Linked DNA regions of Arabidopsis thaliana. The protein of the gene in region 1 interacts with the protein of each later gene in a pairwise test. Each region holds a gene or a part of one and is shown on either strand. Other genes may lie near its edges.

Evidence for each region. Proteins that work in one complex are often made in the same cells at the same time.
Region 2: the proteins of GSTU19 (region 1) and AT2G41820 interact in a protein complementation assay, tested with the Arabidopsis thaliana proteins (one large-scale study listed by BioGRID).

The regions. Positions count from the first base shown.
Region 1 is NC_003070.9:29,483,016-29,493,886, forward strand, and holds GSTU19 (glutathione S-transferase TAU 19), read right to left. Parts: upstream 4,993-10,871; 5' UTR 4,805-4,992; coding exon 4,490-4,804; intron 3,989-4,489; coding exon 3,644-3,988; 3' UTR 3,372-3,643; downstream 1-3,371. Other genes in the region: GSTU20 (glutathione S-transferase TAU 20), read right to left, coding at 1,413-1,751, 1,875-2,189; NCED9 (nine-cis-epoxycarotenoid dioxygenase 9), read right to left, coding at 7,880-9,853. UniProt on the Arabidopsis thaliana protein: Catalyzes the glutathionylation of 12-oxophytodienoate (OPDA). In vitro, possesses glutathione S-transferase activity toward 1-chloro-2,4-dinitrobenzene (CDNB) and benzyl isothiocyanate (BITC), and glutathione peroxidase activity toward cumene hydroperoxide.
Region 2 is NC_003071.7:17,440,348-17,451,218, reverse strand, and holds AT2G41820 (Leucine-rich repeat protein kinase family protein), read right to left. Parts: upstream 4,476-10,871; 5' UTR 4,050-4,475; coding exon 1,706-4,049; intron 1,634-1,705; coding exon 1,305-1,633; 3' UTR 1,111-1,304; downstream 1-1,110. Other genes in the region: AT2G41830 (Uncharacterized protein), read left to right, coding at 74-184, 283-522, 624-788; AT2G41810 (imidazolonepropionase (Protein of unknown function, DUF642)), read left to right, coding at 9,923-10,016, 10,464-10,871. UniProt on the Arabidopsis thaliana protein: Leucine-rich repeat receptor-like protein kinase that may play a role in vascular tissues development.

The sequences.
Region 1 (10,871 bases):
TGTAGCATCGTTAGGCTGTTAATAAGGGTAACATGTCCATTCGAAATTATTAAACGTTTTGGTCAATCATATTAAACCTTTTAAAAAAATATCAAAGTGTGGAATTTTTATCATTTCTTTCATTAGTTTTATGGTAACGTTATGATATCTCGTAGACTAGTAGTTTAATAATGCTAGTGGTGGTTATAGAAACCATAAATATTTTACCATAGTAGTTTGATAAGTACCTTTTGAGAAAATAGCAGTCTGATAAATCAAGGTTATAAAATATGTTATTGATGAATGATGTCATCTTCTGCCGAGAGAAAAAATTACAAGCAGGATAGTGAAAGGGATGTTTTATTACTTTGGCGGTGATTTTTACTCGAAACAGAGCATCTGAACCTTTTGGCCAACCATATTAAACCAATTTTAAATTTTGGTAAGTTTATTATTTCCTTCATTCTTAGTTTAATGAGAGTAGCTTTATAATGCTGCTAATGGTGTATATATCACTATATTGTACTAAATTCAGCTTGTTAAAAATATCATCAGTAGTCCCCTTTTAAACAATTGCAGAGTGTAAATCAAAGGTATGCAAATCTTTCTTTTGGTGATGAAAAATACAAATTTTCCTCTTTGCTATTCTTCTTACAACTTATGAATGGTGATGACAGTAATGCAATAACGATATGAAGCTTTGACTAGTTCTTTTCTAGCAATCGAATGACCGAAACCATATGTTTTACAATAGAATTGTATTGATCTTCGAAACAAAGATCACACGTATAAATTATATTATTCGGTGAATGGTGAGTTGATGACAAAAGGATAATCAGAGAAAAACTGTTGGTGTGAGCCACACCGTAGTGGAGTCTCCACTCAAAGCCTCAAAGTAAGGGAACTGACCAGCTTTTATGTTAGTGATCAATGTATTATCTCTTAAGAAGCAAAGAAAAGAAAAACAAACAAAAAAACCCTAATAATAGTGATAATAGATCAGAGGTGTCTTTTTGTTTTCCCTCTAAGCGGAGTTTAGAGAGTGCTTTAGTCTGCATGTCCTCCCAAAAGTGGCTGAGAACCCAATTTCTTTTTATCTTATGTTTGCAGAGCCACTACTTGCATGATTGTAACGTGGCCATCTACTTTATTAATTGCTGGGTGTTATACTATTTTCGTATACGCGGTACTAGACAAGTAGAAAAAGAAAAAAGAATTCCAACTTTTTCTTGTGTTTGTTCTTTTGAAAAGGATGTGACTTCATACTTGGACTCTTTAAGTCGAAACAAATTTTATTTAAATTCCATACTTAGGATGCATAAAAACCACAACACACATTCACTAAGGCTCTCTCGCATTATTAGGGGAAAAAAAAAAACAAAGACAAAAACAGAACACAGCTTAGCAACAAGAGAACAACAAGATTATTCAAATCAGAGATTGTTCTTCCTATACTCAGCAGCATATGCAACAATCTTCTCAGAGTCAGGGAGAGACTTAGACACACTCTCTTTCTCCATGCACCGCTTTGCCCAAGCGATCAGTTTCGGACTCTCTGACTCGATGCTAAAGTTACCAAACTTCTCATAGGCTTGGAACCAACTCGAGAATGTAATCAAGGAAATGTCTACATACCCAAAGCTATCTCCACCAAAGTAAGGTTTATCTCCTAGCTCAGATTCAAGAATCTTCACTGCCTCAATAAATTCCTTCTTGCCTGCTTCTTGTTCCTCACCTTTCTTCCCCCATACCTTGAATTGGGCGTCGGTGAACTGAATCCATTACAGAACATCGAATTATGTCAGAAGGAACCAAACTCATTTTTTCAGATAACCCTAAATCACATTGTTTCAGACTCAAGTTAAGAAATCTAGGGCACAAAAGGGATTAGTTACCTTCTTGTCCACGAAATCAGCCCAGAATCGAGCCTGAGCTCTCCCGTAAGGATCGGAAGGGAAGAACGGGTTCTTCTCGGGCCAAGCCTCGTCGACGTACTGGACAACGTTAAGAGATTCACATACCGGTTTACCGTTGTGGACCAGAACCGGGATTTTCTTGTGAATGGGATTACTCTGGAGGAGTAAAGGGCTCTTGTTCGAGAAATCTTCCTCTCTGTATTCAAACTCAACACCTTTCTCTCGCAACGCAACTCTAGCCCTCATCCCGAACATACTTGGCCAGTAATCCAAAAGAATCGGTAGGTTCGCCATTGCTATAGGATCTCTGAAGTTCACAAAGTGGTATATATTCTTGCTTTTTGTTGTGCGTGAACAAGCGAGTGTGTGTTATAGTAGAGAAGGAGTGAGTGACGGTTGTTTTATAGGGGAAGAAAATGATGTGGAAAGGATTTTGATTCCCGTTACGTCACATCAGCTTTTTTCAAAGCATATTATGGTCCATATATAAATCTTTTAAACAGTAAGCTTTTACCCGTAACGATTTAAAATGTATTTTGCAACTTTGTTAAATAATTGTCATATGTGTGCAACTAGTGAAAACATCACTTAATATAAAAGAGTGTGATTATCTTTTGCTCTGATTCAAACCTTAAACGTATATGTAAGAGATTAGAATGGAATTAGTACTTGACAATATAGAAATCGACTTGATTTATAAGAAGGTAACAAAATAAAAAGTTGATCGAGTGAAGTAATACTTTGCTTAGTTGCTGCATCAGTCTCTACTTTTGGCGTGGCCACCTACTCACAGTTGTTTGTATTATTATCTCTCAGTTAGGTGGGTGTACATTTACCACGTGATTCCCTTGATTTGATATCAAACATTACAATCCGGTACATACGAGGACAAGCTACTTACCATGCATGTACAAGAAATACGCATTTACACAAGGAGTGATAACAGCTATACTAATTTATTGAGAGAGTATTGCACTCTATTAAATATATCACATACACCATTATTTTTTCAATATCAGCATAAGATTTATAAATACATAATGCTTTATCTATGTTTATACTCTAAATTCTTTATATATATAAAGCCTTTGAAATAATATTTTAAAATTTACTAATCGATCCCAAAAATTACAGGATAGTTCTGTGTTAATATCGTTGTTGTAATCGTAAATCAAATTCAAATCCCATGAACTGTGCGGATCATAGTAATGTTATTTGATCTACCGAATTCAAATTCGGCAAGAAACACTAAACCCGTGGCTAATCTGATCATACCGACACTAATGATCACATCAACCACATAACTTCCAATTGACTACAATATGGAGTTATGGATGCCAATTTCAATTTGGGCTTATGGATGCCAATTTGGGCTTATTAGATCCAGACCGGCTTACCATTCTCGATGTTGGAGGTTTTAATCGCCAAACTGCACTATTGTCTTTTACAGCAACATTGGCGTGATAAGCTTGGTCAGGTAGAAGAGTCGTATTGGCGTAATTACATATCAAAGTAACAAATTAATAATCATTATAGATTAACGATCATTAATTAAACTCATAGTTACAATGCATAAAAACTAGGACAAGCCATTAAATCCAGAAAACACAGGAATCTGCTACAGCAAAGACATACATTCTCTACACTCAAACCACCTCACAGATGCTCTGCATTATTTAAGAAAGACAACACACGAAAGTAAAACAGAGAGCATCTTAAGTCCGAACCATATGACAAGAGAAACATATTTACTCAGGTACAAATTTCTTCCTGAGCTCAGAGACGAATTCAGTAACCTTCTCAGGATCAGGCAAGGACTTAGCCACGCTCTCCCTCTGCAAACACTTCTTAACCCAAGCAATCAGTTTCGGAACCTCAGATTCGATACTGAAGTTAGCAAACTTCTCGTATGCTGGAAACCATGTGTAGAATCCAATCAACGCAATGTCTACATAGCCAAAGTCATCGCCACTAAAGTAAGGTTTGTCTCCAAGCTCAGATTCAAGAGTCTTGAGTATCTCAATGAAATCCTTCTTCCCTGCCTCTTGTTCCTCACCCTTTGTCGCCCACACCTTCCTCTGAGCATCATACAGCTGAAACATTGCACAGAGTAACATAACACCAAGCTATGTCAGAACTCAGTCGAACCCAAACAAAGCTCAAAGATGATGTCTACAAAGCAAAACCAGTCCTAGAGACCCCCAAATTGCAAAAGAAACATATCATCAAACTATCTAAGATGAACCCAAACAAAGCTCAAAGATGATATCTACTAGCGAAACTAGTATGTAAAAACCTCAAATTGCACAAGTAACATAACATTAAACTATCTAAGAAGACAAACCCTGACTAGCTCAGAGATGAGTCCACAAGAAAAATCTGAAATTTGGAGGTGAGATCTCTAACCCTAACAACTACAAACTCAAGTAATATTATAACATCAGACAAACCCATACAAGCTCAAAGACGAGTCTACAAGCAAAACCCTAAATTTGAGCCAATCACTAGCAAACTCAACTAAAGTTTCAATTTTTATGAAATCCCAAGTTCAATTTCAACATTATTCAATCAAGGGCACAAAGGAAATAAGATACCTTCTTGTCAATGAAATCAGCCCAGAACCTAGCTTGAGCTCTCAGGTAAGGATCAGAAGGAAGGATAGGGTTCTTGTGAGACCAGACCTCGTCAATGTACTGAACCTGGATGATAGATTCGTTAACCGGTTTACCATTGTGGATGAGAACAGGAATCTTCTTGTGAATCGGATTCATCTGGAGAAGCAAAGGACTCTTGTTCCTTAGATCTTCTTCTCTGTACTCAAATTCAACACCTTTCTCCCTCAATGCGATCCTTGTCCTCATCCCGAACATACTCGGCCAGAAATCAAGAAGAATCACCTCGTTCGCCATTGTTACGATCGCTAAAGCTCACAAAGAGATTTTTTTTTGTAAGTGTTCGTCTTTCTCGATTTGTTTGGTTGGGACACTACCTGTAAGGGTTTAGGTAATTTATAGATGAGAATATTTATGATACAATAATGGATTGTGCTGACTCTAGTCGTTACGTCACACCACTCTTTAAAAACATGTGGCCAGATTTTAAAGCTTTTTAAAGTAATAATTTATAATTACAGTATTTTCTTTTTACGTAACATATCTTCATTCGCCTTTTTTTTATCTGTTGACCATTATAGTGTTTTATATAGTAACTTGCAAATATTCGTGTGGACTCTATGATTGAAAAAAGAAAAAAAATCGTCTGAAATCTATTATCATAGTAGCAAATTTGGATTTTGGATGTTAAAGGAAATTATGGATTTCAGTTGACCAGAAACCATAATGGATTTCTAAATCAAGATTTTAGATTTCTTAGCACTGCGTTTAATTATTTTAAAAGTTGATGGAAAAGATTATTTTGTTGTAAGAAAATAACTGGATGGATTAACACAGTTTTAAATTATGTGAACAATTAATTTGACTAATGAGTATTGACGTTTTATTTCGGCACAATGTATCATTACCTGATGAAAATATCATTTATTTATAGAAGAAATGATTCATATTGAAACTTAGTTGAAAAACGTGCAAAAAAATACAGAGGACTTAGAAAAGCGAGCCAAATTTCTAGAAAGCTGTGTAGGTTGAAGAGGTGGAAGATACGTTCACGTTACCAGAATTAACTGGAAATTTTCGAGATATTTCGATGGAACTGTAGAGATTGTGTTACGTCAATAATTGTATTTATACAATTGACGTGACCACATGATCTCGAGAAGCTTGGCGACATTGATCACGAAAGCGAGAGAAGATCCTGGTTCAGTATTGGTTCTATCTTATTTTTGTTTTGGTCATGGACTTATGGTGAATTGGGCCTATATTTTACAAAAAACAATGGATCTGAACCGGGCTTCGAAAAACAGTTTTTCTTATTTGAAAACCCATTAATAAAAACAAAATCATAAGAGCGAGCAAGAAAAAAATCATACCTGACCTTTCAGAACTCCTGTGGCCAAACAAAATGATCTTCTTATTTTTAAATTCTCTTATTTTTAATTCCAAAAGATATAAACTCGCGCCAAAAATTTATGTAACTGATGCTTTAGTATCTTTAACATAGCTAGATCTATTATAAACCTATAATAGACTAGTTAACAAATTTAGCCAAATTGGATATGTCACCAGAGAAAGCAAAATCAGCTACATTGGGTATTTATATTTCGTCGAGTAATATACGGGATTTTTTTCAGGCAGATAATGTGATCTATTCATTATAGACATATATGATTGTTTCATAAGAAGAAACTAGCTCAACATACTCATATCTGCGTTGGGTTCGATATCTCACGACACGTAGCAACATACTCATGTCATAACATGATACATCTTACAATATACACAAAATAGTTGACTAAAAAAAAGCACACACACATTAGGATAAGAAGATACTTAAATTGTTATTTTTCATTGATGATTTCGAATGTGTATCTGTATCTGGAAGTCTCTATAGTGTGTAGACTTTGATCTAGAAACATCGAATGGACCCTACGCACTGTATTACGTGGCATTTTAGTTTCAACCTACAAACTCGTTACTTGATTTTGTATATTCTAATGTTTTTGAGGCGTCAAATTCCGAGACATCAACGTATTTTTCGGCGAATATACTATTTAAAAGTCATGTACAAAAATACGTATGATCTTGATGAGATTTTCCCTAGTATGATTACATATTTGATAAAAACTATTTATTTAGAAAAAAGACACAGCAGTATGCACGTTATAAATCAAAAAATGGTCTTTTTCCATGTCAAAAAAAAAAGATAGTTCCCGGAAAAAAAGAGTGGCCATGAAGTGTATTACATGTTCAAAGATTAGAATCAATCGATTGGCTACTGTGAAATGCGAGTGCTTATGTATACGCTTACGTGTATGCACTTTAGAACCAATAAGAGTAGGATAAAAGATCACAAGTCAAAACTGTGAGATGTTTCCCGTTTGCTTAAAGTAGAAATCGCAACAACCTCAACGTAAATTCATGAATAAAATAAGCTGTCAACAAGTTAAACCCATAAATGCATCTTTTTGGTTTATAATTAAATTGCATAAATAAAGTTTTGACTTGTTTATTTTAATGAACTGAATTAGTTTGGACCTTTAAATTCTATTTCTAATGGTATTCCTAAGTAATATTTTATAAAATACAAGGTTAGTTTTTTTATGTAATTTCGAAATATAAGTATAGGGATATGGATTTCTTACTTTAAAAGAAGAAGAATAAAAAAACAATAATTCGTATTGTGGTAATTTCGTAATTTGTAATACCAATTATTGCAAGAAGAACAAAAAACGAACAGACGAAAAACGAGCAGATAAATAAAAGTTGTTGATAATTGTAAAAAAGACAAAGAACGATCAGAAAGATTAAAGTAGACCTCATTCCCAAAACAGAGATCACATGAGATATTTTCGGGTTTCCATTTTCGAAGGTCAAATTCCTTCTATAAGAAGCTTCTCTAGCTCTACACAGTTCATTCACATGCAGCTCACAGAGATATTTGGGGAAGCTTACATAATATAGAAAAGATATCAGCATAAACCTTCTAAGATAATCAAGTTTAGTGTGTCGACTATATTTAGCTATTTTTATAAGTAATGCATTTTTCTCATCGTTTATAACAATAACTCCACTTTAATCTACTTTAATAACCATCTTTAATAAATCAGTTTTGATCAAATCTATAAATTTTTATGCTAACAAATTCTGTGTGTAAATTAAAACTTTACTACAAAACTTTGTACACAGTTGGATCATTGGACACTTGATCATAGTATATACATAATACATAATCACAGTATATACGTATAACTAAAATTCAAGAAACTCGTTGCCGGGGACTAATGCATAACAATCCCTCAGGCAACAATCCTATGTCACTAATCACTATCACTCATATTAACATTTATAAGATCCTACAAAAATCTAAAACTAACACAAAGCTTGCTTCGATAAATCTTCCTTACTGATGAACGTTCCGTGGAAACCGTAAGGCACTCTCGACGGAAGCGTTACGGTAGCTTCAAGCTTCATATTAACGGCGTTTATGAGTTGGAGTTCCGATTTCACCTTCTCCTCGTCGTGAACGAACACCATTATGTAACCTCCGTCTTCTTCTCCGTCACCGGAAGGTAGAAACAGAGGCTCTCCTCCGTATTTCCCCTCTCCGTAAATATACTTTCGAATCTCTCCGGTCGATAAGTCCACTTTAGCGAAACCGGACACTTTAGGCCACGGTTCGGTTAAAGCCAGATAAGCATACCGGGTTTTTCTACCTAATAAATTCCGGTTGACCATACCAGCTTCGAGATTAACTTGTTCCGAGATAACCGGTCTACGTGTTGATTCCCCTGTTTTAAGGTTTAGCCTTATCTCCGACAAAACACTCTGAAGTGTTTCGTCGTGTTCGTTGAAAATTGAATCAGGTGGCGTCATGCATGATCCAATCACGACAACCTCGTCTGTTTCTGGTTCTTCCCAAGAGTTCCATAGATGGAAACAAAAACAATCTGGTACTTCGATCCATTGAATCGACGAAGCATCTTTCGCGTTTTTATTCAAAATCCCGAATCTTGATTTCTTCTTCTCGTCGTAAACCACCGGAGAACCACCTCTTATCATCTCCGGCAATCGGAATACCACTTGTTGGTCTGGAATCACTACGAAATTCTCAGTGATCGCGAAATCGTGGATCATCGTTGGTTGATCAAGCGGAATCTCGACGTCTGGTGATTTCTCACCGTCGGATGTGAATCTGAAGTATTTTAAGTAAGGCTTTGAAACGACGTCGTAGCTTAAAGCGAAGAGTTCTCGGGTTTCGGGATCGATTTTCGGGTGGGCTATCATTGTTGATTTTAACTGACCGTCGAAATCGTACCGACCCGAAGTTTCTAAATCTCCGGTTTGAGTAACTTTGACATGGTACGGTAAATCGTCTTCGGACATGGCTAAGAGATGACCATTGAAATAAACTAAACCGGCGTTAGCGACACCGAGTCCTCCGGTCGGGTCGACTAACCCAAATAGCCCGCGGGTATTGAAGAGCATAAGCTTGGCGATTCCTAAATGTCCGTGAAGCTCTCCAATTGCTTTGGGGAAAACCGGACGACCACATTCACGTTCTTGAACCAACCGGTTTGTTTCGGTAAACCGACAAGCGTAGCTAACCGAGCCGTTATCGAACCGGACAGCGTGTACCATACCGTCTCCGTCGAACAAATGGTGGCCGGAGACTGGTTTGTGAAGTGGATTTGCTCCGTTTCTGACGTAAACTCCTTGAATGCATTCTGGTACTGTTCCAGTCACCGGAAGGTTATGCACGACAGGTTTCTCCGGTACCGGGAAGAAGTTCCCGGCTATTTGGACGGCAGGATCCGCCGTTTTAGGATGGGGATGACGGCGGCGCTCGTGTGAGATCATGGCGTTTTCCACCGCGTCTAAAACCATAGCGGCGGTTCTCTGCACCGGGTTTAATTTTGGATTCTGATTCGTCGTTTTGGGGATCAAGTTGGTGACATCGTTACATAGTTTCTTCCAAGACGGTGGTTTGAATGTCGGAGATTGGAGAGAAGACGAGACGGAAGATTTTTTGTTGACGGAGGAAGAAACATAGCAGGGGACTACTAGTTTCTTGTTTCTAAGTGTTGAGGAAAAAGATAGAGATTGAAGTTTAGGTCTCGAAGAGGAAGATGAAGTTGAGAAAGTTCGGTCGAGGAATTGGGTTGAAGTAGAAGGAAGTAAGGTAGTAGAAGCCATAGTCGATTCTTGATTAAACGCTGCGGTTTGGGGTTTTGGTATTGGTTTCTTCAAGACCAAGTTTGTGTTTTGTCCATATTGTGAGTGATGAGCATCTTGGGACAGAAGGCTATATATATACATACCAGAAATAATGGTTATTATCGTCATTCACGCTACTATTTTCTCATCTTTTAACACGTGTCCTAATAATTATCTGACGAGACTTACATATTTTCATCGTCCCTCTTTATCATTTTCAATAAAATGGCTCATCTTGTTTATCTCCCACAATTTATCTTTGGATAATAAGTTGTAATAAATTTGATCATTTCACTTAGAAATTTTTCTACTTTAAGAGATATATTTTTTTCCGGCATTCTAGTTTAAGAGATCAATTTTTGTGTATTAGAAGTGTTTGAAGTAGTTTTGATCAGATTTTGTTTTAGAAGTGCTTACAATGTCATTGAAGGATGGAAGAACTACCTCTTGGACGGTAACAAAATATTTGAGATCAACTGTTTTGTCTTCTTTCGGAAAGTGCAGTTATTAGTAGTTTCACGTAACATAAAACAAACAAATTTAACAATTGAGATGATACCAACGATGTGAGACATTCGTTATGGGAACTTATTCAATTATTAGTCTTAGTTTTTAAGTGATTTTTATACCTAATAGTCCAAATTACTTGTGGTCGTAGTAATAGTTGGATTTTGAGAAATGTGTAAATTATTTTACTTGGATTCAAATCTCATTAAATAATAAAATTACATGCGTGTTAGAGAGACTGAGACTGTCGGTATTATTGAGTGGTCTAATTCTTGTAAAGTACGTTGAACCAGATCCTTATAGTTTGGTACCTGAGACTAGTTGAAAATTCGATAACCTATACTTTTTTTCTCGGGTTGATGCAGTACTAAAATTAGTCGGACGACTGAACCTGGATGTAGTTGGTTTAGATTCTAATCATATACCTTTAGTTCGATGTTGATCCGGAAAAAAAATTCCTTTTCAAAATTAAGTCTGATAATAGTATTTAAGTACTGCCCCGAAGTTCGTCTGCTTCTACGTAAGTACGTGAAACTTAAATCCAACTAGAATTTAGAGATTTGACATTAAAAAACATGGGCATGCATATAAACATATGAATAGGCCAGGTTTGGTGTATTCCACTGGTAATGGAAGTGAC
Region 2 (10,871 bases), on another chromosome or scaffold:
TTGCTTCCCATAATATTCTCTGAAAACCTCGAGCTGAACATAAGATTGAAATATGTTGCATCTGTGTCTTCAGGACGCGGAGGATCAAGAGTTTGGAGATGGCACCGAAACCGTTACAAAGAACAATCATGTAACATTTTCTGAAATCCCAGACCTCCTGACCGTCAATCAAATTCTAGAATCTGTAAGTTACATTTTTCAGCTTCCTAGAAACTAGATTACAAAGTCTTCATCAAAAGTAACAGCACACTATAAACTATACTTATTTTGTATTGTTTGAAGGTCGTAGAGACAACACGTCAAGTGGGTAGAATTTCCTTCCATACTGCAGCCGATGCTTCATACAAAGAGATGACGCTGCATTGTGAGAATCTGTTAATGGGAAAACAGCAGAAGATCTCGAGTCTTTTAAATTCTCAGCTACGACATGAGAGTTCTGTTAACTGCTCTCCACGACAACATGATGAAGAGATCAAGATTGCATCTTTTCATCCTATGATCAATTCAGCATTTCATACTGGGGTATGTATGCCTTCGCTATGAATTCCTGTGGATAGCCTCCGGTTTCATATTCCAAGATAACTGTTTAACCATTTTTGTATTGATTACTGAAATTTGTTTAGGTCGAAGTCCCTTTACTGTCGAAAGAATTCGACATGAAATCGCCAAGAACACCAGTGGGAACTATTCAGTCACCGTGCTATGCAGAACTACAAAATAACCCACAAGCATTTAGACTACCAGCCTCAAGCCCTTACGACAACTTCCTTAAAGCTGCTGGCTGTTGATCATCGGCAGGATCCAAACCATGTTTGGCTTTGAATTCCAGTCAAGAACTCAAACAAAACATAACAAAAATAGGTTTGCTTGGTTTTCAAAGTCTTGGGTTACGTTTTTATAGATTCTTTAGCATCATAAATCGGAATTATCTCCGTCGTGCTATAATTAGATCATTCCTCCTAGGTTTTTACTCCTATCTTCTCTTTTCACTTATTCTTTTGTCCAATTCTTGTTTCTTTTTGGTGTGATGTGTAAAAAATTGAAAGAGGCCATCTGGTTTTCACATGGTATTGTAATCTTAAGATTCTACAACAGATGCTTTGTTGAACAGTTTCCCTCAAGATGTACATTGGTTCTTCTATGATCTAATTTATAATTTGTGTCATTGGATAAGTAAATCAACCATAAGCGGATCAATTTTATCATAAAAACCTATATAATACACAGAGGAGAAGCTCGCATATATAGGAATGCGTTTTCTTTTGTATATGAATGTCACAAGAGGAAACTATATATTCATTTGCTCATTTGATTTGCTTAACCTCTTGAAGCATTTCAACTACTTTCTTCATCTTTGGCCTTTTTGCAGGTGTGATGTCTGTGCAAAGCAATGCAACTTTCAGAGCTGCAAGCATCTCTCTCCTCCAAGCAAAAGACACGGTGCTAAGCTTGGCATCGAGTATCTGTTCCGGTGTTTCTCCTCTCGCTGAAGCTCCATGGACCCATTTCACCAAATCTACTCCTTCACCAAACTCTTCCTCCACCGGCGCTCTTGAGGTTAGAATCTCAAGCAACACAACTCCATAACTGTAAACATTCCCCGGAGCTGTAACTTGCATTGTGTATGCATACTCTGCAGAAATAAACCAAGGGAAAGTGTTGGATTTTGTATAAAGTTACTGGTAACAAAATTAAGACTTTATACCTGGTGGAATGTAGCCAAAAGAGCCTGCAACTGAGCTAATACTCGCGGTGCCTCTAGAGGGATCTAGAAGTTTCGATATTTCGATTTCCCCAAGCACGGCTTTGTAACCAGAGTCTAGCAAGACGTTGCTAGAGGAAACGTCGAGGTGAATGATGGCGACTTGGTGGAGAAATGCTAAACCTTCTGCTGCTCCAACAGCTATGGACAGTCTCATTGGCCAGTCAGGTTGGTACTCTGGTTTCTTGGTGGACTCATGAATCAGCTGAGTTAAGTTACCATTAGGTAAATGCTGATGCAACAAGAGAGCAACGTCTTCGTATATAACAAACCCTATCGGTCTAACCAAATGGTCATGGCAAAGTTTGCTGAGTCTTTCGAGTTCTCTGATCATCTTGTTCTGATGATGAGATATGGCTCTATCCATAGACTTGAGTTTCTTCACCGAAACAATCATCCCCGAAGGCATAACGGCTTTATAAACTGAACTGAAAGTTCCCGTACTGAGTTTATTTGACTCCTTCATAGTTGCTTTCACAACTGCATCAAGATCAATTCCTTGTTTAAGATTTTCAAGGAAGACATTTCCCGCGATAATTGCTGGTTGCTCATCCTCAACATTTTCTTCAACATCAACATTTTTAGCCGCTGCTTTCTCTTGTTTCTCCCTCATCATGAAGAGAAGAACAACCACAGTGACTGATACAAAGACAGCTACACCAGAACCAATCACTGCGAGCACAATTCTGTAGGAGACTCTGTGATTATATCTCAAATGGTCAAGATCTTCAGAATATCCACAAGAAGAGCTCAATGGTGCTCCACAAAGCTCTTTGTTTCCCAAAAAGCTCGAATTTGGAGACTTTTGAAAGGGAACAAAGACTGGCACTGGACCATTCAAAAGGTTGTTTGAGAAATTAACCTCGATCAAACTCATCATACCTTTTAGTAGTGGCGGTATGGATCCTGTGAGCAAATTGTTAGAGACATCCAATGACACGAGCTTGTCGAGTTTTCCTAACTCGGGAGGCAATGATCCATGAAGATGGTTGAAACTTAAGTTGAGTGCTATCTGCAAATTCCTCATGCGACCAATCTCAGGAGGAATGGTTCCCGTCAAGTAATTTCGACCCAGTTGGAGCTGAAGTAGCTTCACACAGTTTCCAATCTCATGAGGTATGTCTCCTCTTATGGAATTTTGATCAAGAAGTAAATACTGTAGCCTTGGCATGCTGCAGAGTTCCTTTGGGATGGTTCCGTTGAGTCTGTTGTTACTCAAATCAAGCTTGTTTAGGTTTCCACTTCCAAGAAACGACTTAGGGATCTCCCCAAAGAGACTATTACCTGAGAGAATCAGTTCTTGAAGATTAATGAGCTGACCAAGCTCTGTTGGAATGGTTCCAGCGAACCCATTAGCTGCCAGATTCAGCAGAGTGAGATTAGAACACTTGGAGAACTCTGCAACAATCTCACCTGAAAGATTGTTCTTGTCTGCTTCAAAGTAAGTAAGTCCACTAATGTTCCCGATTGTCCTCGGAATGACTCCCACAAGCTCGTTATTCCCAATTCTAATGCTCGAGAGGCCGCTGCAGATTCCTACTGCTTCAGGGAGTTCACCGGTCAATCTATTCTGTGTCAAGACCAAAACTTTAAGCTTCCCTTTCTCAAAAATCCCTTTTGGAATCTTCCCCTCAAGTTGGTTTGAGTGAAGATTCAACAATTCCAACTCAGAAACCAAACCTAACCCATTCGGTATCTCACCCACCAAATCATTCTCATAAGCTGTAAACACCCTGAGACTGCTCAGATTCCCTACCCAGTGAGGTATAGAACCATTTAACCCATTTCCAGAGACCTGAAACTCCTCTAACCTCTCTAGAACCTTAAGCTCATCAGGTATCTCTCCAACAAGCAAGTTATTAGAAATGTTGAATGCTCTAAGCCCTCTAAGCTTACCAAACTCAACCGGAATCGCTCCAACAAAACGATTCAGAGACAAATCAAGAAACTCAAGCTCAGACAAGTTGCCAAAAGAAGTAGGAATTCGTCCATTGAAGTTGTTACCAGAAAGATCTAGATGCTTTAAGCTTCTGAGGTCAGAGATTAGAGTAACATTACCTCTAAGCTGAAGCCCTGAGAGATCAAGCATTTCAACAAAAGAGTTGTTGACACCACACTTAAGCCCAACCCAAGTACAATAGTCAGTGCCATTACTACTCCATCCTGGAACTCCAAGCTCTCTATTAATCGCAACCAATGTGGCTTCATCGCTTAGTTGAGCTTCACAAAGCTCAGATTTTGATAAGAACCCAACAATCAGAAGAATTGACATACACCAAAATGTCATTTTTAAGAATTGAATCAATCACACACTCTTGTTCTTCTTCTTCTTTCCCCCAAATACAAAATTATCATTGAATTTTTAAGCCAAATGAAACAAGAAAGTGAGAGAGGAAAAGAAAAGTAATGCTCTTTTTGCCATGAATCCAGGATTAAAGCTCTGGTTTTTCAAGTCAAAATAACTGTTTCTGAAGAAAAAGAAGAAGAAAGACGAGTGCTTTAGAGTGTGAGTGTGGCTTAGAGAGAGAGCAAAGCCCATAAATTTAGGGAGAAAAAAACATGAGAGAACAAAGAGAAGAGAGCAAGGAAAATTCGATCAAAGAGTAGTAGGGTCTCTGCTTATAAGAGAGAAGAGGAAATTGCATTTTTTTTAGTATATCACGAAATTATGATTGCAGAACCAAACAAAGATCCTCTCACTTCACACACAGACAGAGAGAGAGAAGAGAGAGACTCCACAAAGCAAACGCACTTGGAAAGGAGGGAATTTTTTTTTTCTTTTCTTTTAATGTAATTAATTTCTGATACAAAAAAGTTTAATTTTCTTCACGAGACAGTGCAAGTGATGAATGAATGAAAGCTGCATAAATCTTTCTGACACATTTTTTCTGCTTTTGTTTTTTGGAAGAAAAAAAAAAGATTTTAATGAAAATGAAGAGTGTACGTTTTTTGATAATTCTTTTCCTCTGACGTTTTTTCTGTACCATACTGATTGATACTGTCACAATGTTCAATACCAAAGAGGTAAAAGATTGTTTCCAAATCTATCTTTTTTATTTTTTTACCTTCTTTTAAAATCAAAATTTACACACACTTTGCAGTTATCATTTGTGGTATAATGACATTTTTCTTATTCGTAGGGACTAGGTTATATTTGTAGCCTACATGTTTTCTCTTTGATCTATATTTGACAATAGGGAATCTACTCTCGTGTGGTGATTTTTGATGATTACTTTAAACACGATCCATGTTTGATGTATACCAAATTTTGACGACATTTATGTCAAGAATATAAGATTATAGAATCACACGAGGTGGAAGATTATTACTATTATTATTCGTCTGCGACGATAGTCAGGAAACACTGTGTGTTAATATCAATAGATATGATTGATTTCCGAGTTTCAAAATACACGTAAATTTTTGTTGTAAGATGCTCAATATAACAATACGTAAACAACGATTTGTCAAATCTTGAATGTTGGTAGAAGACATGTTTTCTCAGATGTCTGCCTCAAACAGCGAGATTAGTATCTTTTGATTTTGTGATAATTGTTATAAATAAAACATACCAACAATTTATTAAATAGCTATGTCTTAAGCTGCTTCCGATACTCCTACGCGACCCAAAACATTGAAAAGATGTCGGATAGATCATATATGAGTTGAGCTAAACTGTGTTCATATTCTCATTGGTGTGTACTTTAAGCTAGATGATGGTCGTAAACTCACATACAAATAATTGTTGTTTATATTACACCATTTTCCTCTTTCCTCTAACTATTACCTGATACAGATGACATAATTAAGTATAGTACTAAAAGGTAAAATACTGAAAACGAGTTTGATTTAATTTGCACAATTGTAAACTAGAAAGAAAGATTCAAAGTATGCAACAGTCAAGCAAATTCATACAATTATACTCAAATATCCGATAGTCATTAACATTCCAGAAAAAAATAAAAAATTAAGAACATGAGTTTGGGTTTCGAGAAATACTAGATATACTAGTTAGCTCTTAATTTATGTTTCTAAGAAATTGTTGGTAAATGTTTTAAAAAAAATATATCATAATGAAACAAAATCATAAACAAAGCTCCGTTTTATCAACATATTCCTTTATGCTGCAAAGAGTTTGTATATTTATGTTTATTTTTGAAAATATAGATTGAGAATAATAGAATGAGGAAGAGTGGGGTTCACTCACGGGATGGGGTAAAAGAAAAAGGAATGTGGCTCTTTACGGTTAGGCAAATTGTAGGACCCTTCTTTGTCTGCTCCGACCACCACCACTCACCACCTCCGTCCCATCGTTTTTTTCCTCTTCTTGAAACCTAATTGCCTAATTAAGTATATATAAATAACACCACCAATTAAGCAAGTTTTATTCTATTAATACTATAAAAAACTTTATTACATAGTTACATTTCTTTTCACGTGAGTTTTCACAACTCATGATACTATCAACAAGACGTTGAACTTCTTCTTGTTTTGGTAGTACAACTGAAGTTTTAGCTACAACAAAAAATAAATCCATGAATTGACGAAAGTACGACTGAATTTTTCTATGAATTGATTTTTAATTATGCATATACATTTTTTCAGTTGATTAGTTTTATGCTTTTCAAGCAATCTATTTTTTTCACAAATAGGCGAATGAGTTAAAGACGAATCATAAGAAGAGCAACAAGAAAAAGAGAAGACATAATGATGGAAGCACCTCGTCGCTTTAAACTCGTGAAGAAGGGGAGATAAGAAGTGTAGTTAATTGTTTTAAATTTTCAATAATTAACATTGTTAGAGAAAATGTTAACCAATGATTACAATGAAAACTTAGTCATTAGCTTATGGATGCTTTACCTATCAAACTGACTTTCTGCGTAATCATTTGTGAATATTCATGAATATGCTTTCGAACTCTTGAAACGAAGATTATGCCGAGATTTATGCTCTCATCATTAAGGATTTGTGGGATGTCGTACCAAAAACTATTATTCTCATTTATTAGTAGCACTACTTCTTTAGGCTCACCAACCGTACGATCTAATTAGTGTTTTGGGGGAAATGTTCATCTTTTTAAACTCATTTTGTAACCATGAATTCCTGAAACCTTCCTTTTTATTCATATGTATAAATATAATATAATTTATTAAAAGTATAATATTATACAATTGGAACTTATGGACTTATGTGTGAGTTTTAACTATTTAAGCCATATTTTGATTAATATCGAATAATATAAGATTATCATGGTTGATTCCACAATTACCAAAACGTAAAGTTGTTAATTAGCCTCCCTAAAATTCCTAAGATTTTTCTACTAGTGAAGGAGGAATATAAAATTTAAAAACAAAGAGGAAATGTCAAAAGGACATGACTCGGCTGTCCATCTTGTAGTGATACCAAATGGGGCATGTGGAAGGTTGAAAGAAAGCTATCCCCACTTTTTGTTGATTATTTTCATCATTTTTTTCTATTTGTTTTCTATTAGCTTTTCAAAAGAAAGTGATTAGAAAATTTCATAGAAATATGTTTTTGGCAGTAATATTGATTGAGACTTAGTTCTCCCTTTATCGGACACATATCATGACCTTTGGATCATGGTCTGTCCCTCTTCTTTTACGCATTCATCGACATTTCTTTGTTTTCCTATCACTTTTCAACATTAATTCCATAATAATGAAAAAACAACAAATCCTATTTTTTCAAACTTGTTGAATCAAAGGGTCCTGAATTTACATAAAAAAACGTTTCAAGAAAACAACTTCAAATCGAAACGGAACGGAGTTCGTATGTTGGGCCTAAATGGGCTGGGCTACTGTAAAGATTTTACACGGTGTCATTTTCAGAAGATTGGATTCGAAAAACTCACATCTACACCGTTACAAAGTCGCTACTCACTACCTTCATTTTCCTTTAGTTTCATTTTTGGGTCTTTTTCTTTTTACATAAATCCTCTCAAGGCTTTCGATGTTTAATAAAAACAACTTATAGTATGTGAAACAGAGAAACACAAGTAATTAGTGGAAGAGAACGGAGGGAAAGCACTGTAATGAGAAAAGCTGGAACCGTTCAGCTAGATTAGGTTTATGGAAGGCTTCAAGTGTGGAAAGGAGATCTAGGAAAAAAAAGAATAACCATTCGTTTTAGACACTGGGATCTTATTTTCCAAAATAAACTGCGGGACCAACACCAACTGGATCATGGATGTGTATAAATAAGATCCCCAACAACGTTTCATTTCCTCTTCTTCCTCTTTCAGTCAAAACCTAAACACCAATCCCAATTTGGTACGTGACAAATTAAGTTATATTTCAGTTTGGTGTATATGCTTCATACTTTCTTTTTTCTTGGAATAATTCGTCTTCCACATGGATCCTTCGTCTGTTGACGATTATACGGATAAGAAAGATCGCTGACTTTTTCAAATCCACATGATGGGATCCAGATCCATAGTTCCGTATGTTATAAGATGTAATCGTTGATTAATACATGAACATGGGAAGACAGCCGAAAGTTGACAAATTAAAAAGGAGTAAAAAAATAGATGAGATCGGAATTAAAAAAAACTCTAGCTGGTTTAGTGCGCACTGCAGGAGTCATAGATATCTTTAAAAGTTATCATATTTGATATGATCTAATCTCACCCGAACCGAAATCGATCATACAATGACAATGATACAAAAATTCACTAGAAGAACCATCTCTCTTCTTGTTATATATCCTCTTTTTCTTCATATACGTTTCATCTATTTCCTCATTAGTTGCCCAAATTAATACTTTTAATTTTACTAATTGGTCGTCAACTATATAATCCCGAAAAGCAACCTTTTCTTACGACTTTCTTAACCAATTAAAAACACAAATCCCAGTAATATTTATATAGAATGAATGAATCAACACTCGTAAGAATAAGATAGTAATTTATATCGATATTACTAACTGCAGTCTCTATACACTCTACAAAGTATAACTGAATCGCTGTACAGAAAAAGTTGGTTCGAGGCTTTTTTTTTTCCTGACATCAAAGTTAGTTAGAGCTAGAGACGCTATAAAATTAATATAAAAGTTGGTTCAAACTACCTTTACCAGGAAAAAGTTTTTATTTATATAATTTGCGAAACGCAGAAATATGATTTTTCTGAAATACATTGTACCCAAAAGGACAGAGGAGCACACGCAGCACACATACACACGTACATGTATTATACATACGTTGTCGAGATTGTCTAATATTATTATATCAATTCAAGAATCTAGTTACTTTGGACTTTGGATGCATATTTGGTTTCCAGTATTTGACTCGGAGCGCAAATCTCGCCGATGAACCGACACATAGCATTCGTATACAAACACATGTAATTAATGATGTAACTAGTTGCTCATTTTTATAAATTAATAATCCCAAAAACTAGTCGATAACATGTAAACTGTAAACCGATAAGTTATCTATATTTTGCTTAAGATTCAACTTATATTAATACAGAAAATCGCATTTTTAGTCAGATTTAGAATGTGTTTAACAATCAAATTCTTGTATGGTTCATATGAGCAAATATAGCTAACAGTCTAAAACAGAACAAATATATAGAACTAAACAGTCGGTATTTATGTACGTACACATACATCTATAATCCTATAATCATTGACTCTTTTTTTGGTTTGGTTAGCAACCTATAATCTTTGACTTTTTGATCGCCTAAAAATATTAGTTTAAACAGGTATTAACGTTGGCTACGTAATCAGTAAACTTACAAAATGATATCAATGATATTTATTTAGTTGTCAAAATTTGACGATAAAACAAATTGAAAGTGGGTTGATGAATAACATGAACGGACAGTACGGCCACACCACAAACATTGCGGCTCATTTTATGGAGATATTCAACGTGCTCCTACTTATCTATGCTATTATCACCTTCGTATTAATACGTACGGTGCATCGCCGTATTAACATTAATATATTTCTTCCACCATTAATCATTTTATATTTTGAATAATTTCTAAAAACAACGTAAAATTATTGATACGTAGGTCGGCTATATATAGCTTGTAGGAACTTGTGCATATATCACAACCCTCTTATCTTATGTATACTCTTTTATTAGAGACAATTGATAGATTTGTTTTTCAGTGTCACTTGGCCTAAAAGCTCACAATGTCTCTCGTTCTCTCTCTTTGCTTGGTCTTCCTTTGTTCTCTTGTTCATGGTTCTCATAGCTTACCAGCACAACGGACTCCTCATCTTGATGGTAAGACAGTAAGACTATACGTTAGTTAAGTACTGCAAAAATTATCATATAATGGTCGATGTTATATATATTTGAATTATTTAGTATGTTATGTTAATTGAGCTATCCATATAAAAGTTATGATAGCAGAAGAAGAAAATAGTTTCCCAGTTTTGGAATTGACGTGCTGTCAAATTAATTGGGAACATGAATAAATAATTAAATAGCGTTATTTTAAATTTCAGTAAGAAAAATTATTTTGCATTTCATAAGGCCAGTGTGTTCTTAATTCTAATTTAATTTCAGTAACACATGTCACATGAAGGGTGAAACTAATACAAAGAACTAAACTATAAGCTCCGATCTTTTTAGTTTAATTAACGATGATAAATTGTTGTTTACGCTGATATATTATAGTTTTCATCGTAGAACTAAATGTAAAATTTCGCTTTTTATGTTTACGTGTAGGGCTTCTCCCAAATGGGAACTTTGAGCAAATTCCTAACAAATCAAACATGAGAAAGAGGCAAATAATTGGCAAATACTCTCTTCCACATTGGGAAATCTCCGGCCACGTAGAGCTAGTCTCTGGCGGTCCACAGCCCGGTGGTTTTTACTTCGCAGTGCCACGTGGAGTCCACGCAGCTAGGCTAGGGAACTTAGCATCAATATCTCAGTATGTGAAAGTGAAAAGCGGCTTGGTCTATTCTCTAACGTTTGGTGTCACGAGGACTTGTGCTCAAGACGAGAACATCAGAATCTCTGTGCCTGGTCAGACCAATGAGCTACCAATCCAAACATTGTTCAGTACCAACGGTGGTGATACGTACGCATGGGCTTTTAAGGCAACGTCTGACTTGGTTAAGGTCACTTTTT